Alligator mississippiensis: one gene and its partners. The protein of the gene in region 1 purifies or fractionates together with the protein of each later gene. This does not show direct contact. Links are inferred from orthologs where the notes say so. Each region holds a gene or a part of one and is shown on either strand. Other genes may lie near its edges.

Region 1 (7,392 bases):
TCCTCCCTCTCTCTCACACACTCACACATCAGTCAGTAACCCACACGGTCACACTTCATGTTAACATACACCCCATGGCCTCTTCTTTTTCACACATACAAGTGTCAATCCACCAATCACACTGTCACCCATCACATTAGGATGCACAAAGTCTTCTTTTCCTCACCTCACTCCCCTACCCCATTTTCCATCTCTTGCACAGTAACCATCCCCCCAACACACATGTATTGTCACACCCACCACTCTTTCAGTCCTTTACTCCCAGGGTCACAGTCACCCCAAGATTCACATGCATCCATCCACCCATCTGAGGTTTGCAAAGGCACCTACACACACTTACACCCATACTGTTGTCACTCCTACACTCATGTAAACACGTTCACCTCCTCCATGTGGTCACCCCCTAAACTCATGCAAACACTTCCGCCTCCTCCATGTGGTTACCCCTTTCACCATAGGCAGCAGAAGACTGGCACTAACAGGGCTCAGCCCCCTCAAACGCAGGTTAGTGGGTAGGGCTACAAGGCAGCCCAGCCGTGGGCTTCAGGTGGCTGTAGCAGGGGTGGGAAGAGGCACACATGCAGCCAGAATCGCAGCTCGGCCTGTGGATCACTGGCTGCCCAGCATGGCAGGCAAGTACCAGTCAATTTGGTGAAGGGGAAAGGGCTGTGTTGGGGGGCAGATCGAGGCCCCAGTGCTGAGGGAGGGAGTGGGGCACAGGCAGGGGCAGGGATAGGGTGAATGGGGCCCTGGCTGGGCCAGGTGGTGGGAGAATCAAAGCCTGGGCGGCTCCTCCCCAGTCTGTGTGTGGGGTGGAGGTGGCTGCCACTGCACACTGTGCATTATACCCTGCTGCACCTGCCCTGGGAGCAGCGCAATGCCACATGCCTGCTGCTGCTGGGCTGCGCCCTACCTCCTGCCCGCCCAGTGGCAGGACACACGTGGATTTGTGTGGCTTGGAGGCAGTGGCAGCAGGGAGCAAAGCCCAGTCCATAGCAGCAACCACCTCTGCCAGGGTGTGCATAGTGGTGGGAGCCCCCCTCACCCTTGGATGAGCTGCCTGGGCTGACTGTCCCACAACCTGGCCTGGCTGGGGCCCCATTCACCCCAGCCCCATACCCTGCCCGTGCCCCACTCCCTCACCATGGGGGCCTCGATCTGCTCCCCACAGCCCTTTACCCTCTCCCCACCCCTTCCCCCATAGACTTACTTACTGGGGGGGGGGTACATGCATGCTCAGCACCCCCAAATAGTTTTTTCTCCCTCCGCTTATGCCTTTCATATTTGCGCAGGAACACACACTGGCACCCTTTTCACAGTCACTGTGTCTCACCCCATCCCATACATGTGTGATCTTCTCACCACTCCTTCCCACCCACAGCCATTGCCTCTGGACACATCCATGCAGAGACTTCCACCACCCATTCACTCTGAGGCATTCTTGCTGGTCCCCATGACAGACTCTGCCACCATGGCGGTGAACACAGTGGCTGGGTTTGCACATTCCCCCTTAAGGGTTGATGGGGGGTGTTTGCGGGAATTAGGACAGGGTAAATGAGCCTGAACCCATGGTTTCTCCATACAACCCCCCTACATGCATACACACATACTTGACTACACACGCATGCATTTATGCACAAACATATCATGCATGTCGATTCAGAACACTGGTGGAGCCAGGGGATAGTTGAGTCTCCATGGCCAGACGAGACAGTGCTTGGCACTCTGAGTTGGAGCAGTGGGAGCCTGGACACTTAATCCCACAGTCCTGCCCTTGCAACCCCCTCTCTGATGTCAATGCCAAGAAGGTCCCAGGGAACCCTGGGCTGTGTGTGATGTAAATTCTTCACCCTAGGCACCTGCCTCAGCCTCCTTTCTGGTTGTGTCTGCCTAGAGTTCACTTTCCAGCCCCGCTCGTCTGCACAGCCTTGTGCTCCTGCTTGTCATCATCCCTTTATCTTCTCTCTCCCCTCCAATCCTGAATCTCACCCTCCTGCTCTGGATGCTTAGCTCCACACCATCTCAGTTCACCTAAATGCCTCTCACTCCTTGGGAGCTCATATATGCTTGTCAACATAGAGTCCCAGGACAGCTCTGGGTAGAGGGGACTCTGGAGTTGCTAAGGCCACCCTCTTCCCCTGTGTAGAGCTGTCTGGCTGTTCCCAGGCTGGGGAAGGGTGGGGGTTGGGAAGGATGGGAACTCACTGCAGGTGGGGGGTGAGTCAATCATATTCCACCCTGCCCAGCAAGTACCCCTTCCACCCACCATTTACACATGTGTGCTTGTGGAGGTGTCCTCAGAAAGGATTCTGTGTTAGGGTGGGTTAGCCTGTCCCTGCCCCCTGCCCTTTCTCCTTCAGGAGCAGGGATCACAACTGGACAGGTCTCTGCTGGAGGGAAACTCTTCTCATCTTCTGGGGTTCACCCTGTTCCAGGCTGGAACCAGTCACAGGTTGTCAGGGTGCTGGCCAGGCCAGCGCTGAGCTCCTTGCACTTACCCAATGAAGTATGAGACAATGAGCAGCTGCACGGCGCGGTTGATCACACCGATGGTCCAGCTCTTCACCACCACTGACTTGGTGGTCTCATAGGTGAAGAAGTTGGCTACACAATTCATCCCGGAAGAGACCGTGGGCATTTGGCACAGCGTGGGAAGAACTGGCTAATGCCTGCTAGCCCCGTCGAGATGGGATGCTGAGACCAAGGCAGGGATGGGAGATCAGTGGAGCGATGGGTGATGCTCCCAGAGCTACTTGGGAGGGCTGCTCCTTTAAACCTGGGATCCAGATGGTAGCCTTCCTCTGCCTTGCTGCTACTCTGGGCAGGCTGGAGCTGAGAGACCCCTTTATACAGTCTCCACCCCCATTCTCAGAGGACAGTGATGCTGGTGGGGAGAGGCAGGAAAAGGTGGGGCTTCATAGCCTGTTCATTGCCAAGCAGCTTCCCTGGTGTGTGCAAGCGAGTAGGTCCTTAATGCACCTGATGATTCCAGAGAGGAATCCACTTAGCGCATCTCAGCTCAGCAGCTTCTCCCTGCCCAGCAGTGCTAATGTCCCTCACCCTCAGTTAACTGCCCCTGCCATCCCAACTCTGTGCCAACAGGAAGGGGGAGGAAGCTAAGCAAATACAGATCTCTCTGGGGACAAATCAGCAGCTGGTGAGCAGCAGGTAAAAATGGTCCCTGAAGACTAACATGGTCCATTTACCCGCAGAACAGGCACGCGACCAAGCCAGATGCCCGCCTTGCCTGTGTTATGCCTCTTAACATGCCTAGCTCTTCTTCTTGAAGGGTGAGGGAGGTGTTTATCCCTCCAGAGCTCATGCAGGCCTTGATTGCAGCCCCTCTGCTGAGACTGCATGGAAAGGACTCATCTGATTATTGGAGGTTGACAACCCCCTCCTCCAGTCCTCTGTCACAGCTACAGGGACAGATTGGCCATGCTACCCACTAGGCTTTGTGCTTGCACCACAATGAACTCCCAACCAGCCAGCCACGTGGGTTGGAGTGTTAGAGCCTTGAGCAGAACGTCCGGGAGTGTTGGCTCTGCTGGGACACAGTGTGTGATGGGAACGACGGTTCCAGCAAGCGCACACAACGTATCACGGAGCTCCACTCCACTGCCCCTTGCTTCAGCAGGGCTGGTGCCTGGTGTAATCACCCACACACGGAAGGGCAGCCTGTGGTGGCAATGCAGTGTGACGGTGACACGAGTGTTGCTGTGGGATAGTAGAGAATAGTGTTGGCGCCGGGCCCTCCTGGTCACAGCAGCTCATGCTCTGGAGGTGTTGGTGCTGGTCACACTTCATAGGGGCCATGAAGGCTCCCCTGGACACACCCCGGGGCGCTTTCACCCTGCAAGGGGAGGGGGAGCACGCATCCCCTCTGCTTCTCTCCAGGGGCTGGCCCCACAGCCAGAGGGGTGGGCAGGGGGGCTTGGCAGTGGTGATGCCACAGGTGGACGTCATGACGTCACCACGCCACGTGGCCACCCTGTGACGCAAGAACCATCCTGAGGTTGAGGACGCGTCAGCCCGGGACACTGACCAGGCGGGGGTCGCCTTAATTATCCCGGGGGAGTGGGGGGGGCTCTGCCCAGAGCTCTCCCAGGACTCTATGGCGACAGGCGCCGCGGACCCCGCAGCAGCACCCCCACAGCCGCCACCTCCTCCCAGCCCTACGCAGGGGATTTGGCCGCCAAGCGGCCTCTCTAGCCTCAGGCCTCCGGACACTCTATGCTCCCGAGCGCCCGCCCTCCCCCGGCGCGCCCTCTCTTGCCGGAGGCCTCCCACAGCTCTATGGTAGAGTTGGCGGCCTAGAGCGGCTTGCGGCGTCGCCATGGCCGCCCGGGCCGGAAGTGGGGGCATCTTCCGGTGGCGGAAGCTTCGCGCGGGGTTCGTGTTGCGCAGGCGGGAAAGTGACCCCCGGTGAGCGGGGGAGGCGCGGGGCAAGGGCCGGGGATCGGGCGGAGGGGGATTGCCCCCCCCCGGCCACGTGCCCTCCCCCCGTGCCGCGCACCCCGGGTGGGGGGTGGGATGTGCGCGGCCCGCTCTGCCTCCTCCCCCCCGCGGGGCCGCCCTGGGCTCATCCCTCCCGTTTCGCCGCCAGGTGCCTCCGGCTCGGCCGACGCCCGGTGCTCGCCGGCTGCAGCGGGGTGCTGACGGCCCTGGGCATCCTCCCCGCCGGGTCCCGCCGCCCCAGGCGCTGCCCTGCCAGCTGGGCGCGGGCCGCAGGGGGCAGGAGCTGCCATGGCCGACACGCTGGAGTTCAACGAGATCTACCAGGAAGTGAAAGGGTCCATGGTGAGAGGGGCAGGGGGCGGGGGACCCCGGGGCTGCCCCCAGGCTGAGCTGGACAGCTGCAGGGTGCAGTGGAGGGGGGGACCGCATGGCACCTGCTGCAGGGGCCTGGGGCACGTGGCCCAGCTTCTCGCCTGTCTCCTTTTTACGGTGTGCTTCAGGCTCAGGAGGCTTGCCCTGTGTCAGGCCCTTAAATTTGGGACCTTCTCCCTGTTTGCCTGGAGGGAGGTAGCGTCCTGGAGTCTATGCTGACACCAGCGTTTGGGACTGGGGCTGGCTTACTATCAGAGGAGGCACAACATGATCGGACCCTGTTCGGTTTAGCATCTGTGGGGTAATAAAGGGGCTTTGAGGCTGTCCAGGGGACTGGGGCCGTAGCCCCAGAATCCTGCCTGCGTTCCCAGCTGGCATTTTATCTGGGGAAGGGAAGACTCGTAACTTCCTGCCCTAAACTTTTGAATCGGGTTGTAGAGGTTGTGGGAGGGGTCCACGACTTGGGTGATTGTAGCATGGGATCTGGCTTGCACAAGAAACTTAAGATTGAGGTGTGTCTGTTTGTTGGTTGACCACATACGTGTGCAGGGATTTAAGGTTCATAAGCTAACTTATCTGAGTCCTGGGACATCTGAATGTGTGGCTGCAGTTCCCGTAAATGTTCCCAACTGATTCACGTGCCTGTGAAATACGGCTGAGGAGGGTTCTTGTCTCAAATGGTCGGTTGTTTTTAAAGCCAAAACAGGGTGTGAATGCAGGGCACACAGTGCCAGTTTGGTTGGTTGTGTCCTAAACCATGGAGCTTCTGTGGGAGTCATTGTTGGAGGATGAGGAATGGCTGATTTTGGGGTGCCTTTTGCCCAGGGAGTGGGGTTGCTGGTATGTTACATCTGGCCTGCAAGATGCATACAGTCTTATTTTCAAAAGGAGCGGTAGTGAGGCCTCCTTGGCTCAAACGTAAGAGGATGGTTGGCTTCTACTGGTGATTCAGGGAGCGCTCCCTGGCTCTATCCACTTTGTTCATATCTTGCTCATGGGCGACGGCCTGTGTGGGGGAGGTTCTGGCTCCTGCCCACCAACCTCTGTGTCTCTTCCTGCCAGAATGATGGGCGGTTGCGCCTGAGTCGCCAAGGTGTGATCTTCAAGAACAGCAAGACAGGCAAAGTGGACAACATCCAAGCTTCGGAGCTGTCGGAGGGTGTCTGGCGCCGTGTGGCGCTGGGCCATGGTCTCAAACTGATTACCAAAAATGGCCACGTCTACAAGTATGATGGTTTCAGGGAATCGGTGAGTCCTTTTCTTTTGATAGTGACCAGGGTTAGAGGTGGCAGCTGGTGTCCTTGTGGGGGAGACCTCCTGTCTTCTCAAGAGTGGAGGGGGGACCACATGCTCCCCCCTCCATATGGTCTCTTAGCCTCTTGCTGGATGCTAGGCGTGCAGCTCATGCCCTCATGAGTGTTACATCTTGTTGGGTTCTAATCATGCACCCCTTCCTCCTACCGTCTGTGTATCTTTTTCCTGGACCATACAGTTTGTTGTGACCTTTGGCTCTCAGCTTTTCTGTGTGAGCTGCCAGTGCTTTCTGAACCTGAGTCTCTCCCTATGAACTGTCCAGCAAAGACTCAGTACTGGTAACACCTCCTCCCTGCTGTCCTTTCAATATAATAGCAGGGTCTACCCCAGGGGTGGGCAATTATTTCAGGCGGAGAGTCACTTACTGAGTTTTGGCAAGCTATCGAGGGCCACATGACAGGCAGCCAGGGGCAGATAAATATTAATTTTCTGAATTTTTTTTATGGGCTCTGCGGGCCGGATAGAATGGCCTGCGGACCGCGTTTTGTCCACCTCTGGTCTGCTCTGTGCTTCTTGGTAAGCACTACAAATTACAACCAGGCCACCTCCTGGATGAGTATTCCTGCTAGAGTCTCCTTCAGCTGCTTTGTCATCACCCCAGGGGCATTGCTGTGGTACTAACGTTAGTCTGTTCTGTCGGAGAGGAAGGAAGTCCAGTGCTTTGGTATGGGTTGGGGTAAGAGGTATGGCTTAAGCCAGAGGTTCATAATCACTTTTCATCTATGTTTTCTCTCCCGCTTAGGAGTTTGACAAACTCTCAGATTTCTTTAAATCGCACTATCGCCTGGAACTGGCAGAGAAGGACCTGTGTGTGAAAGGGTGGAACTGGGGAACTGTGCGGTTTGGAGGTGAGTTGGGGAGAAGTTGGATGGGAGGGAGTGGAATTGGGGCACATCTTTGGCGCTGCAGTGAAACTATTTTGGCCCTACTGCAAATGATGCGTGCTGGCAAGAGTGAAGCTGAGAGAGAGGAACCTGCTGTTCTGCCCTTTTGTGCAGAGGCATTTTGCTTTTGGCCATGGTTGAGTAGAAAAGATCAACGAAAGGTGAACCTGCTCATGAAAGGGCACTGGCTGGGATCCCCCACCGTGTGGGGCAGTCTGGTGACTCCTGCCAATCTATTTGGTTTCCACTGCTCTGTGCAGGCCAGCTTCTCTCCTTTGACATTGGGGAGCAGCCAGTGTTTGAGATCCCTCTCAGCAATGTGTCACAGTGTACAACGGGCAAGAATGAAGTGACGTTGGAGTTC
Region 2 (7,423 bases), on another chromosome or scaffold:
CTTTTTCTGTAGTTTTAAAATTCTAGAGGCCAGCCTCGTTGACAAGTTTTGAGAAAGGGAGAATACAAAGTACAGCTCTGTACATGAGCAGGGTTATGATATCCCGCATAGCTGAAGCTCCCCAAACTTGCTGCTTGCAATAAAGGCACAATATTTACCTAGTCACAAGTAATCTTCAGAAGTTAAAGTGAATCATCATCAAGCACTAAAACAAGAATTGGATTCTTCTGTCATTGCTAAATGATAACTAGAAGTGTCTAGTATAGCAGGAAGTTCTCATTACATAAAATGCATGTTAAGAGATTTACCGTACAAAATAAACTGTGATCTTCCACACCCCCAACCACAGAATTCTCTCTCTGTGTTTTAAGCAGAACTCATGGAGTTTCTTTAAGTAATAAAAAGCCGCTGTCCTTTTCAAGCACGGATGTAGAGCACCACATTTAAAATTCTAGCCAAGTGTGCCTGGGCATTTTGAGTGTGGTGGCAGAGGATCTTAAATTGCCTAGTGAAAGTTAAAACTAATGAACTAAAAACCCGAATAATGAAGAGTTAACATCCCACTGAAAGAGAAGCAGTTCACATCACCATAACAACAATTTCAATCTCAAGATCATATTTTTTACTAGCTTCTCCCCTGTGCAATTCACCCTCTTTTGGGCGACTTGTGCTCTACAAAAAGGCAGCAAAAATCCAGAGATGCCAGTTTTAACCCAAGGATCAACTGTCCTACCTCAGTTTATTAAAACCAAAAAACAGCCTAAGATTATGAAGGCCGATCTGTTGTTCTGGTCTGGAAAAACAACTGCAGTTATCTATCATACTAAAAAAAAACTTCCCTTACAGCAAGGGGAGGTTCTTCTAAAAAGACAGCTACATAGATCTTTAAAATCCATAACAAAGTTTGAAGACTAGGGATTTTTAAAATCATATGATCTTTTCTGTGCCTATTGACTTAAAAATAACATAAAAATAAGGGCCATACATTTTCTAACTGTAAGAAATGCATTTCAAGCAGGTTGTGTCAAACTTATGGTGAAGCCCAAAGTTTTCATATTTCAGGGCAGGAGGAACTAAAAAGTCCTAAAGATCAACATCCTCTTGCAGAATTAAAGTTTGTTTTAATTAGTATTTTACACTCCTATGAACTGACACACAGCTTGCCATTTCCAATACCTGATTCTATTCAGCATACTGGAAGCAGAAATAAAACCTGATCTTATAAACAACAAAACGCTTCTCATAGAGCTTTGTTTTCTCAATTTGAAAAAAAAACTATTTTTCACAGTTACTATACAGCACTGCGCTTAAAGAATGCCAGATACACTATTTCAAACAACAGAAGATAAGTAAAAACTCACAGTTTAACCATAAGCTAACAAAACTGACATCAAGGTGCTAAAGCGACAATCATGATGCAGGAACCTACTAGGCTGGGTGCTCTGCCCAAACCATTGTAGTCTGAATTATTCTGAGAACAATTATTCTAATAAAATATGATACAACTGGATAGCAAAGAAAACCCTGAAATGGCATGGACTTACCTTGATTCTCCGCTGCTGTTTCTTGCACTTTCTTCATCACTGTGCCCATTCATTGTAAATACTCAGAAGTTTAAAATATAAGTCCAAACACTTTAAAAGTCAGGTATTAAAAAGTCCACTTTCTAAGCTTCTTCCTTGTAGCCCACGTGCGTCTTCCAAGGTAGCTTGTTTGCTTGCCTGCTCACTGCAGGGACCAGAGATAGTTTTTTTTTCTCACGCTACCTGAAACAGAGGTGGATATCATAAGGTTAACACGACTTGAAGCGTTCCATGACCCCCGCCTCCCTCACGCCACCCCCAAGGATATGGAAGAGGCTGGCCTGTCACACAAACTCTTCGATTTGGACACGTCGCTCAACGGTCCCGTTCCCATTTAAAAGCGCTTCTCCATGTGAAAGGCCTCAACAAAGAGCGCCTGCCTGCGCGCCCCACTCTGAAACCTGAATCGAAGTTTACAGCCCAGGAGGCATTGCGCAAAATACTTTGGGGTGAGGGGCTGTGCAGTGACAGGGGCCTCGTGGCTTTGAGAGGATGCTTACAGGGGCCAGGTAAAGGCCAGCGAGGGGGGGTTTCAGCTCTCCTTAAAAAAATACCCCAGCGTGGGGGGGGCGGACGCAGATGCGGCGCTTCATGGCGCAGCTTGAGATGCATAAGTTTTGCTGCAGCCCCGCAAGGAGGGCGACCAAGGCATCCTCCTCCCAGGCCGCGAGCAGGCGGGGGGCCGCACCCAGGGGCGCCGAGGTGCCGCGGCCGGCCGGCCGGGCGGGAGCGGCCCACGCCGCGCACCCAGTTCGGCCCGGAACAAAGGAGATGGCGGCGGCGGCAGAAGCTCGCCAGGAGCCTGCCATCGTGTCCGGCCGCGCTGCCGCGGCCCCTGCAGCTGCCGGCCCCGCTGCCCGCTGCCGCCCCCTCGGCAAGGGGGGCCCGACCCGCCGCCTCCCTCCCGGCGCGGCCTGCATCGGCCCGGGCTCCGCGCCCTCCCTCCCCAGCAGGGCCAGAGCCAGAGCTAGAGCCAGGGCCAGGGCCAGGGCCAGGGCCAGAGCCAGAGCCGCTCCTACCTGCGCGGGCCGGGCCCGCACGATCCCTGCGGAGGAGGGAGGAGGGGGAGCGCGGCCGCTGCTGGTGCTGGGGCCGCCGCCGCGGGGCCTGCGCCGCTTCGCCGCCGCCCGCCGGGAACAATGAGCCGCGCGCCGGGCACGGGCCGCCGGCAACACGGGCCGCCGCCGCCACTCCTCAGGTCCTGCCGGCCGCCGCCATCACGCTGCTCCTGCCGCCGCTCCGTTCCGCTCCGCTCAGCCGCCTCCTCCTCCTCCCTCCCGCGGTCGGGTGGAAACCCCGGGCGTGATGTCAGCCTGCGCCTAGGGACGGACTGAGCGGCCGGGGCGGAGCCAAGCGTAGCAGAGCCAGGCCGTGCAGGTCCCGGGGCAGCTCGGCCTCAGCCGGGCCCGGGGGGAGGAGGGTGCGGGCGACCCCGGGCGCCCAGCCTGTCCCCCGGCGCCTTGCGGCTGCGCACGGCGGGGAAAGGCTCCGGCAACCGCGAGCGAGAAGGCCCCGCGCCGCCTTCCCCGGGCCCAGGCCTGTGGGCACCTCCGTGCAGCCCACAGACGCCGGCTGATCCTTGTGGTCAGGCTGGGCCTCCAACTCATGTGGCCCGGCCCAGGGGCCTGCTGCCCCCCAGCGCACGCCGGCCTAGCAAGGACTGCGCCGCGCGATGGGGCGGGGCCGGGCCGGGCCGGGCCGGGGCGCTGGCCGCGTGTTGTGCCCGCTCCGGCCCTGCTGGGAGCCGCGCTGCACGTGGTGCCTTCCCTGGGGCAGCTGCGGTGGCGCCACGCGTGGCCTGGGCCGGCCAGGGCGGGTGCCACATGTGCCCTAGGGGACAATTCCCAGCACCAGGGGCTGGACAGCAGGGCTCTGAAAGGTGGATTTGACCCACAGGCCATATATTTGACACCCCCCATTTTATTTTAAAGGAACAAGAAGTTTCATGGGGGGAATCAGCAAGATATGTGGAATCGCAGGTTGGTTAGGAAATCGGGGAGGGGGGCTGTAGCAGGCGCTGTGGGGCTCAACCCAGCAAAACCTGACAGCACTTTTGCACCCCATCACCTCCAAACCCTCCTCCTTGGGGAGGAGAGATGCCTTCCTGTCTGCTAGTTCTCCCCCCCCCCCCTTCCTGCTCACACACGGCATTATATGTGAGGATACTTCACCTGCCTTGCACAAATTGCCAGATATTTACTGACCGAACCAGATAGCAGGCCTAGCAGCTGCTTTCCCAGGAGGTCAAGCATGAAGCAAGCAAGAACTATTCACCTCCATGGTAACAAAGGAGAAAAGGTCTCAGGACCTTCAGTATTGATAACCTGGAAAGGCAACAGGCTGGAGAGTCTGGTGTGATGCTTTGGTGGTGTGATGCTTTGGTGGTGTGATGTTTTGTTGGGACTCAAGGGTATCAAGAACAGCAGCAGCCAGGTGCCAAGGAACCTCTCAGATTCCCGAATCTACGGAGCCAGCTATCACCTATCAGTAGTTACTTACCTACCAGGTTGGACTGCCAAACCGCCCTGCCCTGACTGCTTACTCCAGGCAGCGAGGAGTGAAACCACCACCACGCTGGCAGTCTGGACTCCCAACCATTGCTCTGCAGAAGGCAAGAGCAGAACCTCGCACCGGGCATTTCTGATTGGCTGTGGTGGCAGCTCCATCATAATCAGGTTCCACTGTGGAAACAAAGACCCAGGCAGGGGCTTGCCTCACCCTAGTTACATCAGCATCTTAAGAGAAAAAAGAAAGACTTTTGCTCTTGGCCTTCTCCTCCCTTCCACACATTGAAACAAAATAGACCAACTTAAAGGCCTGGCACCTGAAGACATAGGTGAAGACATTTTTGGGGTGGAAAATAATAGTAATAGTCTTCCGAAAAGAGCATAAGAGTGATTCAGAGTTTAGAAAACCTCTTTGCAGAACACGTAAAAGTGGTTGGAGGGCAACTTAATCAAGTTAAAGGTACCTTCATAGGGCAAAGATTTGAAAGAGGGCTTTTTAGCCTAGCAGACAGACTCAACAAGAGCCAGTGGCTGGAAATAAGATTGTTTTGCAGTGAGGGTGACTTCTGTATGAAACAGCCTTCCTAGGGACATGGTGGCTTTTCATCAGTTGAAGTCTAAGTCAAGACTAGATGGCTTTCTAAAAGATACTATTTTTGTTCAACCAGAATTATAAGCTACAGGAGTTATTGGATGATATTACAACTGCTGTAGCATGCAGGAGTTCAAACAAGATGATCAGAATGACTGTTGATCCCTTAAAATTATATTATTAATTGATTTTTTTAAGTGTAGTTTATGAAGGTTGAGAGTTGACTAGATGCCGGGGATATCTGGGTTACAGAGAACAGCCAGATGATATAACCTAGAAAGTGGTTTCCAGTGGACAATAGGAATCAGCTTTTCCCCTTGAAACCAGTTGCAAAATGCTTATGGACTTCAGTGTTGGAATATCAAACTTGAAATTAAAAATTATCCCTACAAAGCAGATGTGACCCATAAGAGGCAGGAATTGTTTTGTTACAAATGCATCTACCATTACATGCAAGCAGTGGAAAGCAATAATAATAATAATAAAGATATCCTCTGAGGAGAAATTGAGTTCAAGTCTTAAAGCAACCACTTGTTACATTGTGCCTAGTTCAAAGATGGGTCAAAACTGCCCAGGAAGGAAAAATGGGTAACAAAAAGAAGAAAGTATGCTCCAATTACTGTAACTATAGAATACAGTTGACTAATACTAAGTATCCAGAAATCAAATGCTAATAAAGATACCAAATGTTACTGGAACACACTCTTCTGCATTCACCTCCTTGGCTTCTAAACATTCCTTACAAACCCCTAATTACTCAAAATGAAAGCACTTTATTTCCCCAAAAATCAGTTTGTTTGTTTTCTCGAATTATTTGTTCTCTCCAAAGAAGGTAATTAAAAGTCTTTCCAAATGATGCTTAAAGATGCTGAGTAAATCTATATATTGCCAGTAATATCTTTAAAATCCTTGAATAAAGTGGTATGGAGGAAATGGAAGTAAGGCAGCATCCCCCAGATAAAATGATTAGTTATTTTAGCAGTTGTCACAAGCATATCTACTGAAGATGTACTCTAAATGTTCCCAAAATCAAGACCATAATGTTGTTCCTATTCTATAAGGTATCACATACTAAAGGAAAAGTTAAAAAGGCATGATATAGCCAAGGTTTAGTTTAAGTCATTAACATATTTATTTACATGCACAGACTGCACAAATTACATGCACACTTGTACACCTAACTCAATTTGTTTTAAGGTCTAACCTTGAAGTAATTCAATTTAACACTTCTCACAGGTCAAAGACAATTTTATGTTGGCTTACTTTGTTTAGATTTGGCATCTTTAAGACGGTAAAATCTAGATATTTACTTTTGATATTTTTAATTGTTTAAATGCTGTGGAATTTGGGGAAAAGAATACTTCAAATAATACCTTCCCCTGGACTAAACAAGGTTTAGTATTATCCTCTCTTACTTTTTCCTTTTGTTTTTCCTTTGAAAAAGTATTGTCTCCTTATCTCCACTTTCCTACTTCTACCATCAGTTACCATCAGTTACCACTAGTCCTATTGTGTGGTGAGTGGAAGTTTAACTGGAAATCCCACCCACGCTCCCCAAAGAAAAAAAAAAAGAAACAAGGTTAATATCAAAGTGTAGTTTCATTTACTGCAAGAGAGGAGTGGAAAAAGAGCAAGTCCTCCCTTGCTGAATTTCTCATCTGTCCAGGCCCGCAGTTTTTTTTTTTTGTTTCCAAATTTGTTAAATAAAGTAGTGTAAAACCTGCATAGAAGACATGCTTATCTTACTGCAACAGTTCATGCCCCTTTCAGGGGAAGTTCTGCCTCAGGACTACCCAAGATATAACCTTGTTTGGTCTACCTCCCAGAAGGACTTCTTGTAGCCAGCCCTGGAATGGCTTCACAAGGGGCAAGCCTCTGACTTTGAGATCCTGGTTCTTCTTTGTTCCTCACTGGTTTCTAGGTTACATTATCTGCTTGTTCTCTTTAAGAGAGAAAGAGAAGAATTTGGTTTGGCTTTAATTTTAAACAGTTCTGATGACTTTAGAGTGATCTGCAGTTGAGCTTGAAACACAGTAACACCAGGGAAAGGTAAGAACCAGACAGCTTTGGGCTACACAAGGACCTTCTTAGCTACCTTTTATCAAATGAGGCAGTGAAAGGAATGGTGAGTCACTAAGGAAGTGTAACAAGAAATAGTAAAGACAAAGACACGTAGGGACAGAAAAAAATACTACTTGCAAGGAAGGTTAAAGAGCTCAAGCAGCTCTACAAATAGATTAGGGAGAAAAGAATGACTCCATTTCTATGGTCAATTAATAAAATTAAAGAAGATACAAAGGAAAAAAATAGAGCTGCCATAGTATACACAAAAATATAAACTACAATCAACCCTCTGACAAAATGAATATAAACAGACTGAAAGGACTCAGGTTATAAGTAAAAAGCACAGCAGTGATTTTTTTAACAGCTTTCAATTAATTTAAATCAGCAAGTCATCCCAGTATGCTGAAGAAAACAGTTGAAAAAAAATGTTGGATACATTGGCAATACTTCTCAGCCTTTCGCTTCAGATCAAGTGAAGTCACAGTTAATATGCAAGGTCCTAGAGGACTGGAGAAGAGCTGATGGATTGCCCATCTTTGAAAACACAGGGAAGAAGAAACAGATCTAGGGCATTATATCAGTTAACCTGGTTCAAACTGGAGAAATGTGGGCAAGAGAGAGTTACTGTTAAGCTACAAAATTGGTTCAACTGGTGTAAGCAAAGTGCAGTTTTAAAT
Region 3 (7,978 bases), on another chromosome or scaffold:
CCAACACCAATATTATTAGATGTATTTTGTGTGATTACTTTGTTCCTTATTCCTGCTTTTATCACACAATTAATTGAATGAACTTGTGGCCAGGTCACTGCTTAAGATGCAATTATATAAGAATGCTGTCAGCTTTGCCAGTATACCTCTCTGTGTATACTGCTATCCTAGACAGCACGTCTGGATGATTTCCCCAAGTACACAAGCCTTCACATTCTGATGTAAGTATGTGAGTTATAATACCTATGAATCAATCTGGAGCTTCATTCTTCAGGATTTGGTCTGAGATCAGAGCTATCATTTGGGTTGGCAGGCCAGATCTGGACCACTGCATTTCTCCTGAGCCTGATAACCCCATCTCTGCCACTGGAGCCAGCAATACCATCATTAACCCTCACATTCTGGCTGTGCCCCATCACTTGCTCGGTCACCAAAAGGCATCCCCATCAACAATCTCGACCTGGAAATTTGATGGCAGGGCTACCAGAACCCATGGGGTTAATAATGTTGTCACTTGCTGTGCCTGTGGTATAACAAGCACAGTTGATGTCTAGGGAGAACGCTGAAGGAGAGATGAGGAGATGTGTGCAAGGGTTCTAAGAGCAAGAAGGATGAGGGTTTTGAGAGTGGGGTAGGGGAACACATGGTTTTGGGAGTGGGGACAGGCAGACTACACAGATCTGAGAGTTGAGGGGGAGGTGTACAGCTCTAATAGCAGGGGGGTGGCGCAGGGAATGGGACATGGGTTCTGAGACTGGGGGCAGGCAAGATGCACAATTCCAAGAGTTTGCAGGGTGTACGGTTCAAACAGCAGCAGAGGGGCACCTAGGTTCTGAGACTGGGGGAGGGGGATGTGGTTCTGAGATGGGGGACAGCAGTCTTACTCATTCTGGGAACTCCTAAACAGTCCCTAACTGAGTTGCAGAGTGCTCTGCCCAACCTGGCTGTTGCTTTCAAAGCAGCAGCAGCTGGGGACCATTTTGGAGTTCTTGGCATGGATATACTGCTGGGGCATGGTCTCCATAGGGGTGGGGGTGTGATTCAAGCACCCCTCTTAACTTGGCATCCAGGGCAGGCGCCCCTCTTGCCCACCCCTAGTTAAGCTACTGTGCCCTGCCACCATTGAAAGGCTTCCCCAACCCAGATCTTAAACAGGAAATTCTGTGGTGGGGCAAATGGCAGCAGCATTAACACCTTAACTGCTGGGCCTGCCAACACAGTGGTTCTGGCAGGTATAGGGGTTAACACCACCATTGCTCCCCACACTGCAGAAGTTCTAGCCCCATCAGACATGACTTAACCAATCACGGGTCACTTAGACAGCCCTCATCTAAGACTATAGGCAACTATAAGCAATTGGCTTAGGTCAGTTTATTCCAGGATCAGGTCCTAAAACAACTCAGCAAACTTTTTAGCTGTTGATGGCACTGAATTTGGGGAATTAAAAGAGAAACTAACATGTCCATATTGTATTTTAATATTCTAGATGTAGTTCTTAGGCCTGACTCTATTTCTGATTTTTAAAAAATGCTTAGACTTGACATGGCAGCTAATTTTTTTAAATTAAGGGATGAATCCTGCAAAGCCTAATCCATATAGATATCTTTATGGAATACATAAAGATATCTATTTAGGGATACAAATTAAATAGCTTTGAAACTAAAATTCTCAACTTCAAGTGGGATACTGATGTAGGGATAAGAAACTTGCCCAGTAACGGTTGTGTTTTAATGAAAATCTGCACAAGTACCATTTGGGGAGAAAGGCCCACATTGTTAAACGTAGGGACATGGCAGAGTACAGCCACATTGCATTGCATTACTGTACAAATGTACAGTAGCCCATCTAACCAGTGCTGGAATATGAAAAAAAATATTTAACTTTTTCTCAACTTTCCTCATCCTATTTTGCAGTAGTCGAGAAAAGTGGGATACGACAAAATCATGTATGCTCCCTTCAGTTAAAACACTATAATACCAGGTCAGTGCTAACAAGAAAAAAAGGATTTGTATTTTATCCACAACAGCATTTCTAAAATTGGTATATTTTAAAAGTGAATAAAAGTATAATTTTCAAAATCAGCATACATTTCAACGTATGTATATCCTATTCACTATAGACTAAAAAAGTCTTAACAGCCCTGTGGTAAGTAGTAAGTGTTCCCAAAGTTAGCATACACAGCAAACTAGTTACAATTTAAAAACCAGAATAGCTTGATAGAAATTATAAAGTTCTGGGCTCAACATCAACTATTAAGAAATTCTTTAAAATATAATTAATCATTATTATATTTTCCTACAAGTGGTTGCTGGCTGATGTGTTCATAACTGCCTCCTTTAAATAAATAAAAACAAGTCTTTGTTATGTATTTAAAATAACATTATACTGAACTGAAGGGGTGGTGGGACTGTCAGCCACAAACAACCAAAAGCTGTTAAAAGAAACAAGTTAAATCAAACAGTTGCTCTCTGGTAGGTAAGTATCACAGCACATATTGTAGTACCATCACGTGCTAACTTTAAAACACCCCCTTGACACCGAGGCACAATGGATGAGAACATAGTTGCAGTGTTATTTTTGAATTTCCCTGCTTTTTTTTTCAGTCTGAGTTTCAACCTTAACATTATCTCAACTCTAGACTTTTATCTGTGAATATCTAAGTCCTGTCTTGTGGAAAACTAATTACTGAGCTACTGAGAGGCTTCATAATGTCCTGCATTTAAGTCCTGAACATCATACATAATGCATAGGAAGCAGTCTCTGCACTCTGATTACAGAACACTGTCATTAAGTGAGCAAATTAAAGATGTGAATAATTCACTGGCTGAGCTTATTGTCAGTGCTGCATTGTGAAATTAGAATTTCTAATAAGTACTGCAATTTTTTAACCCAATTAACACAGAGAACATCTTGAGTCTGATTAGTACAATAAAAATTATTACCTTATTCTTTTGCTTCACAACAGCCAAATTAAACACTGTACTTAATTATTGCAGCATTCACTGCTTCCATGCTAAATAGAAACCCCCAATATCATTTTAATAAGAGGTCTAATATTTAAGATGCAATAGAAAAATGCACAACATGAAGCTGTAGTTCATTTTTTTTATTGCAAAGTTTGGGGGGGGTTGGTTTTAAGACTTTTGATAATCAGTTTTAGCATCAGCAGTCACCCATGATGTCACTATTAAAGTCCATTTTCGATACAAAGAAGGTATGGGAAAAAATAGAATGGATATAATGGCCAAAGTAATCGTTTTGAATCGACTACCAATACCTTGTGCTTTAACTTTTTTTTCTTTTAAAAATAGATAAATCTCTGTTTTGCCTGCCAGTGAGTTGAAACTGAGCAGACAAGCTGTTTCAAAAGAGCACTTTAGAAATAGACTTTCTAAAACCCAGGAAGGAGAAGCAGGTTTCTTACCTCGGGTCCCTCTGGCACGGGATCACCTCCTTTCATCCTCGCGGGGAGAGGAGTCCGGCTGAGCAGGCAGCATGTTGATCTTCCCCCACACCCGGCGCCTGCTGCCATATTAACTAAAGCAAATGATCCTTGAGGTTGCCGCTTTTGTCTCCTAATATTTTTCCCGTGCTGCCTTTTCATGCTAACCCCCCCCCCCACCCCCGCACATCTGGCAATGAGCACCGCTGGTTGCAGCTGTTGCAAAGTGCTCTCCCCTCCCACGTCTGTCCAGATCCTTTTTCATCCCCACCCAACCTGGGGAAGTTGGATCCCCGAGCCGGGCTGGAAAGGATGAGGCGGTTTAGCAATGAGGTTTCCTGGATCCCCCACAACCTCTCCTAAAAGACAGTGACTGCAGCAACCGTCTCGCGGTTTCGTCGAGTTATTTCAGCCTGTGCGTGCAACAGGGAGAGAGAGAAAGCAAGAAAAAGAGGAGTCAGAAAAATCAGGCAGACACAATGCAAATAGAAAGAGCAAGACCGAGGGAAACACAGAGACCGAGGGGGAGGGAGAGGGGGCTGTCAGTGTAGATAAATCTGCATATGGAAATCAGGGTTATCCCGGACACAGTTTTAGTTAGCCGTGATGTGCTGCTTTTTTAATTAGAAGGGGGGGGGTGTTATACAAACAGAAGAGTTTTTCTTTGCAGTCAGCAGAGGGGGCGGAGGGGCTCTTCCGGCTCACGACACCACAACTTTTCCTTTGCTTTCTGTAGAGGAACGTTTCTGCCTGGTTTGAAAGTTTCAGGCGCTGCTCCCAGGCAGCGGCGCCGGGGAGCGGCTCCCGGAGGGGCAGCGCCCGCTCCCCGCTCCCACGCTGCTCCCTGGGGGCCGGATCCTGGCCCCGGCAGGACCCACGGGGTGTTCCCCCCGCCACGCGCCCGTCTCTTCATGGGCTCCTCCGCGGGCCTCTTAGTGGGAGTGGGTCCCGGTGCGGGTCAGGCCCCCGCGTCCACACGGGCTGCAGCGTGGGGCGGAGGGTCAGGGCCCCACGTCCACACTAGCTGGGGTGTGTGTGTGTGTATAGGGGTGTCGGGCCCCTGCGTCCACACTAGCTGGGGTGTAGGGCTGGGGTGTAGGGGGGTGTCAGGTTGGAGTGGGGGAGGGTCTGTGCCAGGCCCTGGCGTCCACACTAGCTGGAGAGTGTGTGTGTAAGCTGTCAGGCTGGAGTGTGCGTGTGCGCGCGCACACACGGAAAGAAAGGGGTGCCAGGCCCCCTCGTTCACGCTGGCTGATGCCCGTTGGGAGCGGAGAGAGTAGGAGCTGCAGAAGGAGATGCGGTGTCCTGCCGACAGGGACATTTGGGGGTGGGGGGCGGTGCCCATACACAGGGGCTGCGGCTGGGGGCGGTGCCGCACGCGGTCGCGGGGCGGGGCCCAGGCAACGCCAAGACGGAAGGGGTGGCAAAGGAGCCTGAGCCAATCGGAGCCCCGCGCTCATGCGCAGTAGGCCTTCTCAGAGCGCGCGGGACGGACAGAAGGGTCGGGAAGCACCGGGTGCTGGGAGGACGTGCGGAGACCGGCAGGTACGGCCCGCTCCGCGCCTGCGCCCCCGCCCCGGGGTCCTGGCCGCGCCCCTCCCCCCATACACCCTGGGCTGTGGCCGCGGGGCCCCTGGGCCGGCCGCTTCCCCCCCCCCCTCCCCCCGAGCTCCCCCTTATCCCTGGAGACTGGAGCTGGCTGGTGCTGCAGGGGGCTGGGGAAGGCCACAGCAAGGGTCTCCCCTGCCTGAAGTGGCTTCTCCTTTGAGTACCGTCTGCCCACCCAGGGGCCCGGCGAGCCCCCTGTAAGGAGCTGGAGACACCCCGGGGTGCCCCAGCACCTGTCTGCACCTCCCTGTGGTGGGGTGTGCTGTACCCAGAACACACGGCTTATGCGCAGCACCGGAGCTGGCCGCAGGTCCTTGGGGAAGCCGCGCACGAACAGGTGCTTTCCTGGTCAAGCACCCGCAGCCTGTGTTTCCAGCGCGCGGGAATCCCACCTTTCCTTCCTAAAGAAATTGGTATTTGGGGGTTGGAGGATGACTTTCTAGCCGCGGTGTGTTGCGGTTCTGGTAGCCTGTCTCGACGGGCGCCGTCCCAGGGACAAGGAGGCTTGAGGGTAAAGCTTTGCCTTGCCTTGGGCCATGTCAGAAATCAGCCTGTCGGGAACAGCCATGTTTTCCTCTGCTTAGTGAAGTGTCCTTTGCTTAAGTGTGTGGCCTCAGGACTGAATAAAGGCTGTTAGGATTTTCCTGAAAATGTGGAGAATGAGTTAGTTTGGGGACTTTAACAGTGCAACACTGATAGTGCTGTGTACAGGTTTCCCTCGATTTATGTGGGTTCTTTATATGTGAATTTGTTCTTATGCGATGGCAGACAGGGTTCCGTGGGTGAATTTGATATCTTTTATTAGACCAACCCAAATGGTTGGAGAATAGTTATTGAGCAAGCTTTTGGGTTCAAAAACCCTTCGTCAGGCTAAGGAAGTTTCAGCAGTTGGTGTGTGCTCTTCCTGGATGGAATGCGATGACCATATTTAGACCCATAATTGGTTATACGGGAGGTAAATTTGCTCTTATGTGATCAGCATAGATGGACCCCCCTACCAAGTGTGGCTGGCGCCAGCTGCCTGCAACCACTGAGCTGCACCAAGCTCCACCTGTCTCCCTCTGCCTGGGCTCACCCCAGCTCCTGGGCTGTGCTGTGCCATGCTGTGGTGCAGGCAGCTGGTGTCGTCTGCTCCCAGGGCTGCTCTAGCACCGGCTGGGATGAGTGTGGACAAGCAGAGCCCCGGGCGGTGTGGGGCGCAGCACTCACCCCAGCCCCAGCTGCAGCGGCCCCGGGAGCAGCCAACACCAGCTGCCTGTACCAGGGCATGGTGCAGCCCAGGAGCAGAGGTGAGTGGGGCAGGCGGAACATGGTGCAGCCCAGCGGAACATGGTGCAGTCAGCTGGTCCCGGGGCCACTGCAGCTGGGGCTAGGGTGAGTGCCACTCCCTTCCCTTTGCTTTGCTGCCTTGTGTAGCCCTGGGAATGGCACCCTTCCCCTACTCCTTCTTTAGTCCCAGCCTCACTCCTTCCCTTACCACCATGGGAACCTATCCCTATTTATTACATTGCAAAGTGGGTTCACTTCATGCAAATTCGATTTATGTGCCGTTCTCTGGGAACACATGTACAGCATAAATCAAGGGAAAACTGTACTTATTGGGCGCATCTACATGTGATGCTACATCACTGTAGTGTCCCAAGGGCAAAATCCATGACACAGCAGCCACGTTGCTGTAGTGACACACTATAACGGGTAAGCATGTCCCTGTTGTAGTGCATCGCTACAGCAATGTACAGGCAGTCCTCAGACTTATGACACAATTGATTCCTGAAAACCATGTCTTAAGTCAAAACGTTGTAACTTGGAACCAATTTTCCCATAGGAAACAGTATTATAAATGAGGGATTGGTTCCTGAACCAAGGCCCAATACCCTATTTTCACCAAAAATAACCCAGAATTTTGTACTCAGTCAGTTATTGATGAGTAATATAGCTACAATAATGTAAATAGCAATCATATTGATTTGGAAGGACTTGTTTGAGGTGACTTTGCTGGACCTTTTGAAGGGCTCTTGGTTGGACTTTTTGAAGCATTCTGGGCTGGAGTCTTCTCAGGAGTCTTGGCTGCAGGTTTTTCTGGAGTTCTGTCTGCTTTCTTAAAGGAAGTGTCCAAGGAAGTTTGGACAGACACTCTCCAGGGAGATGGGTGATGCAGCGAACTTGTTTGTTGGTGTGGTGTGATGTCAGATCAAGTGTTATAAAGTCAAAACTGATGTCAGGAAGTTGAAACAGGGTGTCAATTTATAAATGTTGTAAGCGCAAAACATTGCAACTAGAAACGTAAGTTGAGGACTGCCTGTAGTGCCTAAAAATAGCTGTGTGCACAGCGCGTTACTGGCTGTTACTGCACCGTCTTTTAGTACTTCCAAGTACTAAATGATGGTGCAGTAACAACAGCACCATAGTGGCACGTATAGACGTGCCCACTGAGTAGAGATTACAGCTCTATCAGTGCTGTGGTATTAACAGTCCCCAAACTAACTTCTATCATTTTCATAGGTTCTAATGGCTAGGTTTGAGGTTGCTGTTAAATACCTTGAAACACAAGAGCTGATGCTGACAGCTTTGAAAATCAGGGAAGTAGCAACCCTGCAGGTGACTAGCTCCCATCGTTTTCGAGGCTTCTGATAGCAGCCCTTCAGCAGCTGCCTTCCCTTCAGTGTCTCTTCTGTAGTTTATTTTCTAATCAGTTGCTCTGTGGCTGGCTGTTACAATTAGGATGGAGGTAACCCAGTACAATTAAATTGCATGCTAACCAGTAGGCCTGAAACTAATATGCAGTGGACCAAAGTTTTGTTACAGTATGTATAAATAGCAATACATGTGGACTGATGTGTCCATTAAGCAAATTATGCAATTATCTGGCATCTGTATACAATACCACAGTGGCTCCCAAACTTTTCATACTGAGGGCATGTTTATTTT
Region 4 (6,924 bases), on another chromosome or scaffold:
AATAAAGGAAACCAAGAAAGACGCAAAGACCAGCCTGGTAGACAGAACCGGAGTGGAGCACCAGTTGAACGAGGGGATGCTGGAGACGACGGCAGCTTTCTACCGAGAGCTCTACGTGGCACGACCGGAGGACCCCGGGGCAATGCAAGACTGACTGGAAAGGCTCACGCAGGTCCTTGGGAAGGACGAGGGACAGAGGCTGGTGAGGGAGCGGAGGCTGGAGGAGATAAATGCAATGCTCTGCAGCTTCCAGAACAATAAGGCTCTGGGCACAGACGACTTGCCCAAAGACTTCTGTGTTGCTTTCTGGGACCAGACAGGTCCAGACCTGCTGGAGGTCTATAGGGAGTGCTTGCGGGAGGGCCACCTGGGAGCGGGGATGGAGGGAGGCCTCATAACCCTTCTGTACAAGAAGCAGGAGAGGTGGGACTTGAGAGACTGGCACCCAATTACACTCCTGAACTTTGATTACAAACTAATTGCCCAAGTCTTGGCTGAGCACTTTAAGTCTGTTGTAGGTGCAGTGGTCCACGAGGACCAGGCGTGCGCAGTGCCAGGGCGACAGATCCACGATGCCCTGGTGCAGCAGCGTGACGCGCTCCAGTACTAGCGGGAGAGGGACAGAGCGTGGCTGTGCTGAACCTCGACTTGGAGAAGGCCTACGACCGGGTATCCCATCGCTTCCTACTAGAGACACTGGAAAAGATGGGAGTCCTTGCAACCTTTGTTACCTGGATTAAAGCACTGTGCACCAGCGATGAGCAGCAGGGTCCTGGTGAACGGGTCCCCGACAGCCCCCGTTGTGGTAGAGCCGGGCATCAGGCAGGGCTGCCTGCTCTCCCCGATCCCTTTATTTGTGTAATAGGACCATTAGCACGACTCAGGCAGGATCAAGGGAGTGAAAATCCCTGGGAGAAATGGGGAGGAGACAAAAGTCCTCCTGTACATGGATGACCTGGACATCACGTGCAGGGACAAAGGGTCAGTGGAACGAGCACTACAACGTACCCAAGTATACAGAGCAGCAGCAGGGGCCAAGCTCAACGTGAGCAAGAGCACCTGCTTAGTTCTGGGTAAGATCGAGGACCTGTTGCCCCCGTGCGGGCACGGAGACACAGCGCAGGGCAGAGAGGTCCATTGAACTGCCTGAGACAGGCAGAAAGGATCAACCACCTGTTCTGGGACCACGGGCAACTGGTGCCTCCCTACTCTGGGGAACCACCACCGGCGAAAAAGGAAGGACACTTCCATTTTCACGGCTGGCGCTTCCAGGGGTGCACGGCCAATCTCAGGGGCTGCTTGTTCACCCGTGTGCACCCCCTACGCATCGCCAATGTCTGGGACTGCCCACACGCCGCAGAGGTGTGAAGGAAAGTCCGTGCGCTCCTCCCGCTGGTGACAGGGATCAGAGACCTGACAAGGGAAGTGGTTCTCTACCAGCAAGCAGCAAGGGGCTGCGACAGCACCCTCGACCAGCTCATCTCCTGCTTCAGGTCTGCCCTGTGGAAAGCCAGGAACCTGCTCACAGACAGACACCCAGACCCCGCAGTCGAGGACTGCATTAAAATGGGACTCGGTGAAATGTACTGGTACTACCAGCAGATGAAAGAGGACGACAGGAAGGAAGTGTCAGAGCTGATCTGGTGGAGGGGTCTGGCACTGACTTTTTCAGGAGCAGACCCTCTCAGGAGGGAAGTGGGTGTGGGTATGGGTATGGGTGCACGGAGTGAACTGTGTAATGGGATTTTAGTGTGCTTTGAGCTGCCAAGTGGCCACTTGGCAGTGTTGGAGGTGGAGTTATATACATATAGTTATTTTTGCAGGAAAAAAGTGTGCGTGTGAGATAAATGCAAAACACACCCAAAAAAAGATTTGAGTCAAAACAAAGATTTGCAAAACAAACTCAAAAAACAAACCCCCAGAAAAGATTTATGTTAAACTGCCTTGCACTCTTACTAGACACCAGTCACCAGATCGGCATCTACCGACGTGGCTGGTTAACCATCAGCTATCAGCCAAGAAAATCTTCATCCGTGCACCCGTATCCGCTGCACTCCACCAGCGTCCCCCACCCACCGCTGGTGGCTTCAAGGTGCCGTGGGACCTGGCAGCTGGGAGGGAAACACAGGAAGTTGGTGCGACTAAAATGGACAAAGCCTTATAAGGTGGAAGGATTTCTGGAGGGAGAGGCAGGCACAACTGAGGCGTCCCAGTCAGCAATGGAGGGGGAAAGGACCAGAGCACAGGGCACGAGTGATGAACCCAGGGCAAGGAGGGAGCTCTGGCCAGCACTCACTGCCCCGTGGAGGCAGTGGAGCCGGTGGATGCTGCCCACAAGCTCTGCTTGGAGCCACGCAGGTCACCCCGGTGGCCCCGGCCTGCACCGCCTTGCTCCGGAGACCTTGGCTGGAGCCCAGACAGGGTGACAGGAGGTCCCAGACTCAGACACATGAGCTGCAGGGAGAAGTGCAGCCGGACCCTCACCCGGCTTTCAACTAGGGGCACCGGGGATGGAGACTGAAGCCCAGCAGCAGCCGCAGGTAAAGAGCCAGAGGACGTGGGGGAAAGCCCAGCGAGGGGAGAAGCATCGGCCTGGTCTCGGGGAGCGGACAGGACAGCGAGCCCCCAAAGTGCTGCTGCACCGAGAAGCCGGGGGGAGACGCAGTTCCACTTAGAAACCGAACGTTTAACCTGGTGTCTTATGAAGTGACACAATGCTCGGCTGACGACTAGCAGAAAGGCTTGTTTTAACAACTGCCAACAAGCTCCAAAACTAAGACTCTTTCCCAATATCAAGCGAGACGTCAGCCCTCGTACGATCGCCGCCGCAGAGATCTTCACCCCGTGCAGGCCGGGAGCGGGTCTCGCAGGATCCCGCACCAGCGCCTGGGAGCAGGACGGCTTCCCCTGCGCCGCGCCCGCTTGCTGGCAGCTGTCTTGCTCTAAACCGTTTCGTCACAGCCTAGTTTTCACGATGGGTTGAAGGGCAAGGTCTGGACAAAGGTGGCAGCGTCACCGTCCTGTGGTCAACGCCGGCCGGTGGGATCCATCGTGGTGGCTGCGGGTGAACCTGACGTGCACAAAACCCCGCCATCGCTCCGGAGGTTTATCATTTGCACGGCTCGATGGCGCCAGCCCAGTGCCCCGCAGCGGGGCGTGCCGACTCGGTCGCTTGCAGGGGGCCCTTGGCCCGGGCGCTGGAAGGCAGGCGCCGCAGCGGTCGCCGCTATCACAGGTGGGTCAGCGAGGCCGGGGGTGCCTCGGAGCAGCCGAGCGGGAGCCGGGGCGAGCGGTCGTGTTGCTTCGGGCGGTCCCAGGAGCGCGGGGCCGTTCCTGCCGTCCAGTCGTTGGAGTCTCAGCGGGCAGGCATCCGGGCGCGGCCGCCCTCCGTCAGGCCCAGGGAGGGGTCTGCGGTCCCGGGACCCCGGGCACGGGGGCTGCAAACCGGGCAGGAGGAGAAACAAGGGCCGGGTGGCGGCGAGCAGGAGAACCGTGACGGGGATCCTCGAGGGCTCCAATGGACCTCGTGGGGCAGCATGGCGCCCCACTTCAGTGTTCCATCCGCTTCCGGCAGCGCCGCGCAGCATGCCGGGACGCTTCCAGCCGCCGCTGGAGGCCAGGGAGAAGGAGACGTCGCGGCGGGGTTGAGTGGCCTATGAGGGTGCCGGCGGGGCGGGCGCGCGGCATGCCGGGACTCGTAGTCCTGCAGCCGGAGTCTCCCCCGGCCAATGAGGACGGGCGTTCTTTCCCTCCCTTCCCGGGTGCGAACTCGGCTGCGATTGGCCCAGCGGGATTTGAGTGGCGGCGGCGCTCGCCTATGAGGATGCGGGGCTGCCCCGCGCGCGGCCAATGGGCGGGTGGCGAGGGCTGCCCCGGAGGCAGCGCGGGAGAGCGTAGAGCGGCGGCGGCATGAGCGGCGAGCGGGAGATCCGGCGTGAGTGCCCGGGCCCGGCGGGGGCGGCCGGGGGGCTACGCGAGGGCCGGGGTCTGGACACCGAGGGGCGGGGCTCTGGCACGGAGAGGGGTGCCGGTAAACGGGGGGGCTGGTCTGGAAGCTAAGGGGCGGGGCTTGGGCAGGAGGGGCGGGGTCTAGATACTAAGGGGGCGAGGCCTTGAAGGAGGGGGCGGAGTCTGGACACCAAGAGGGGACTCAGGCAAGGGGGTCGAGCGCAAGGGGGCGGGGCCTGGTCAAAAGGCGGGGTCGACACCAAGAGGGGGGATCAGGCAAGGGGAGGGGTACAAGGGAAGGGGGCGGGGCCTGGGCTGGAGGGGGCGGGGCCCAGCCCAGGGGTGCAGTGCCAGGCAGAGGGGGGTCAGCAAGGCCTGGTGCCCCCGGGGCCCGGCGCTGACCCCCCGCTGCGCCCCCAGAGCTGCAGAAGGCGCAGGCGCGGGCGCGGCGCGGGGGGCGCCCCCAGGAGGAAGCTGCCGTCTGCAACCAGCTGGGGGAGGCGCTGGCCCGACATGGTGAGTGCGGGGGGGGGCAGCAGCAGGGGAGGGCCCCTGGGGTCTCAGGGCGAGGGGCGGAGCTCGCGTGCCCGGTAGGTCGGACGCGGGGTTAGTCCGACCCCAGCCCCGTCCGTGCTGCCCCGCGCATCGTAGCGGGCCGTGCCGGGCGCGCCGCGTGGCAGCATGGGTGGGGGAGCGGCCCTGCGCCCCCGTCGGACGTGGGATCCCCTCCCCGGGCTCTCGCCCGGCTCCAGCTCCCGCGTCCTGCCCTCGGCAGCAGGGAGAGGGGCCGCCGCGAGCCTCCCCGCCGGGGCTGCCCCCGCTCACCTGCCCTCGCTCCCGGCAGGGCGGTACCACGAGGCGCTGGAGGAGCACCGGCAGGAGCTGCGCCTGCTGGAGAGCGCGGGGGACGTGCTGGGCTGCGCCGTGGCTCACCGGAAGATCGGGGAGCGCCTGGCCGAGCTGGAGAGCTACGACGCGGCGCTCAAGGTGGGCCAGGCTCCGCGGGAAGCGGGGGGTTGCGGAGCTGCTGAGCAGGGGGAGCGGGCGTCGAGGGCTGGGCTGACTCCCGCCCTGTCCCGCAGCACCAGCGCCAGCACCTGGAGCTGGCCCGCTCCCTCGCCAACCACGCCGAGCAGCAGAGAGCCTGGGCCACCATCGGCCGCACCTACATGTTCATCGCCGACAGCAGCCAGGCGGGCGAGGCGCTGCGGGAGGCCGAGCAGGCCTTCACGAGGAGCCTGGCCATCGTGGACGAGAGGCTGGAAGGTGAGGCCCCCTGGGCTGCTCCACTGGCCTGTGTCCTGTCCCCCCCCACCGGGGGCTGCCCAGCCGGCCCTATGCCCAGGATAGCAGCTGGATGATGGTGCCCAGGCCCTGCCATGGGTGACAGCAAGGGCTTATGGGATACACAGCCCTGGTCAGCTTGTGGGGTCCATGTGGGGCAGGATCAGCACCGTTCCCCTGGCTTCCCTGCCCCGCGTGCCAGGCCCTTCCCTGGGGCAGAACCACCCTGTGGGACGTGGTCGTCCAGCCTGTGCCCACCCCACTCTCCTGGCCCTGGTGCCCTGGCTCTGCCCAGGCGCCCCGCGTGCCGCTCCCCACCAGGTAACGCGGTAACGGGCCAGCTCGCATGTGCCGCAGGGGAGGTGCCGCCGCGGGAGCGGAGCGAGATGCGGGCACGGCTCTATCTCAACCTGGGGCTGGTCTACGACAGCCTGAAGGACCAGGGCCAGTGCAGCCAGTACATCAGGAAGAGCATCTTCATCTCAGAGTAAGAACCAAGCACCTGCCCCCTTCCTGGGGCTTGTGGCAGCTTCCCCCGCCCTCTCCTCCTGGGGCCTGGCTCCCTTCCCGGGGTGTGCGAGCCAGGTGGAGCGGGGAGCCCCTTGCTGTGGGCGCTGCAGTCTAATCTGGGTGCTGCTGTCCCCGGCCGGCTGGCGCGGGAGTTGCCTTGGCCCTGCTACACGTACAAGTGAAAGCTGGGGCGAAACCGGCTTTAGAGCTGTCGCACGCTTTCAGGCACGCACTTGATAGCTGCCTGGCTCTTTTTATAGCAGAAGAGGCGTTTTACTCTGCTCTCGTTGCTTTGCACCTGTGACTGGTCTGTGTTTATTGCACAGTTCACCAGTTAAATGCGTGATAAATGTAACATGTACCAGGGGCCCAAGTCCTATTCTGCTGCTGCTGCTGCTGCCTGCCCACCTGGCTGCTGAGCTGCTGGAGGAGGGGGCTGGTAGTTGTGGCATAAGGGAGGGGGTGGTGGCTGTGGGGTGTGCATGTGCACGTGAATGTGGAGAGTCGTGCCCGTGCGCCCGGGGCAGCTGCATGCAGCGTTGGGCTCCACGTTTTAAAAAGGCAGTGAAGAAGTGAGAGGCGCCAGAGGTGGCCACCAAACGATCAAGGGCTTGGAAGGGAAGTCACACGAGGAGAGGCTGGAGGAGCCGGGCAGATTCAGCTTATGGAAAAAGCGTTTTCGAGGGGCCACGACAGCAGCCTGCAAACACCTGATGGGCGGCCAGAGAAGGAGCGTCCCCTCTCTTGTCTCTGGCTGCAGAGAGGAGGGCACAGAGCCACGGCTTGAAGTTGCAGCAAAATCCATTCAGATCAGAGATCAGGAAACTCTTCTCAGTCAGAGCAGGGGCCACGCGAGAGACTCCTGGGAAGGGGGGACTGCGTCGCTGGAGGTGTGCAGGAGAGGCTTGGACAGGCACTGGTGGGGCGTGATCTAGGCGCAGCGATGCCCGTGCTCTGCTGTAGGGATTGTTGTGGCCGCTTCTGGACCCTTTCTCACTTCTCCACAGCCTTTTTAAAACATGGAGCCCAAAAGTGCAGCAATACTCTGGTTGCCTCTCCCACCTTCCTGCTCCATGTGTCGGGGGGGTTTTAACCCTCCCCCAGAGGCGCTGGGTGCTGCATCCCAGGCTGGGGATGGGGCTGGGCTGTGCCAATGCTCCTGCTGGCACCAACCCCACAGGG

What was found.
Region 2: the proteins of SSRP1 (region 1) and CHD1 purify together in Homo sapiens (affinity purification with mass spectrometry; 3 studies listed by BioGRID and IntAct, with this or other methods). This does not show direct contact. The link is inferred for Alligator mississippiensis from reciprocal best matches to the Homo sapiens genes SSRP1 and CHD1.
Region 3: the proteins of SSRP1 (region 1) and MMS22L purify together in Homo sapiens (affinity purification with mass spectrometry; 3 studies listed by BioGRID and IntAct, counting the BioPlex papers as one, with this or other methods). This does not show direct contact. The link is inferred for Alligator mississippiensis from reciprocal best matches to the Homo sapiens genes SSRP1 and MMS22L.
Region 4: the proteins of SSRP1 (region 1) and TONSL purify together in Homo sapiens (affinity purification with mass spectrometry; 5 studies listed by BioGRID and IntAct, counting the BioPlex papers as one, with this or other methods). This does not show direct contact. The link is inferred for Alligator mississippiensis from reciprocal best matches to the Homo sapiens genes SSRP1 and TONSL.

What each region holds. Positions count from the first base shown.
Region 1 is NC_081825.1:172,856,958-172,864,349, forward strand, and holds the start of SSRP1 (FACT complex subunit SSRP1), read left to right. Parts: upstream 1-4,351; 5' UTR 4,352-4,425; intron 4,426-4,606; 5' UTR 4,607-4,746; coding exon 4,747-4,800; intron 4,801-5,892; coding exon 5,893-6,078; intron 6,079-6,886; coding exon 6,887-6,992; intron 6,993-7,288; coding exon 7,289-7,392. Other genes in the region: P2RX3 (P2X purinoceptor 3), read right to left, coding at 2,499-2,638. UniProt on the Homo sapiens protein: Component of the FACT complex, a general chromatin factor that acts to reorganize nucleosomes. The FACT complex is involved in multiple processes that require DNA as a template such as mRNA elongation, DNA replication and DNA repair.
Region 2 is NC_081826.1:236,838,401-236,845,823, reverse strand, and holds the start of CHD1 (chromodomain-helicase-DNA-binding protein 1), read right to left. Parts: upstream 3,104-7,423; 5' UTR 2,603-3,103; intron 1,767-2,602; 5' UTR 1,598-1,766; coding exon 1,545-1,597; intron 1-1,544. UniProt on the Homo sapiens protein: ATP-dependent chromatin-remodeling factor which functions as substrate recognition component of the transcription regulatory histone acetylation (HAT) complex SAGA. Regulates polymerase II transcription.
Region 3 is NC_081824.1:83,345,636-83,353,613, reverse strand, and holds the start of MMS22L (protein MMS22-like), read left to right. Parts: upstream 1-4,894; 5' UTR 4,895-4,987; intron 4,988-7,978. UniProt on the Homo sapiens protein: Component of the MMS22L-TONSL complex, a complex that promotes homologous recombination-mediated repair of double-strand breaks (DSBs) at stalled or collapsed replication forks.
Region 4 is NC_081826.1:1,588,061-1,594,984, reverse strand, and holds the start of TONSL (tonsoku-like protein), read left to right. Parts: upstream 1-3,836; 5' UTR 3,837-3,909; coding exon 3,910-3,934; intron 3,935-4,368; coding exon 4,369-4,464; intron 4,465-4,792; coding exon 4,793-4,935; intron 4,936-5,030; coding exon 5,031-5,214; intron 5,215-5,553; coding exon 5,554-5,719; intron 5,720-6,924. UniProt on the Homo sapiens protein: Component of the MMS22L-TONSL complex, a complex that promotes homologous recombination-mediated repair of double-strand breaks (DSBs) at stalled or collapsed replication forks.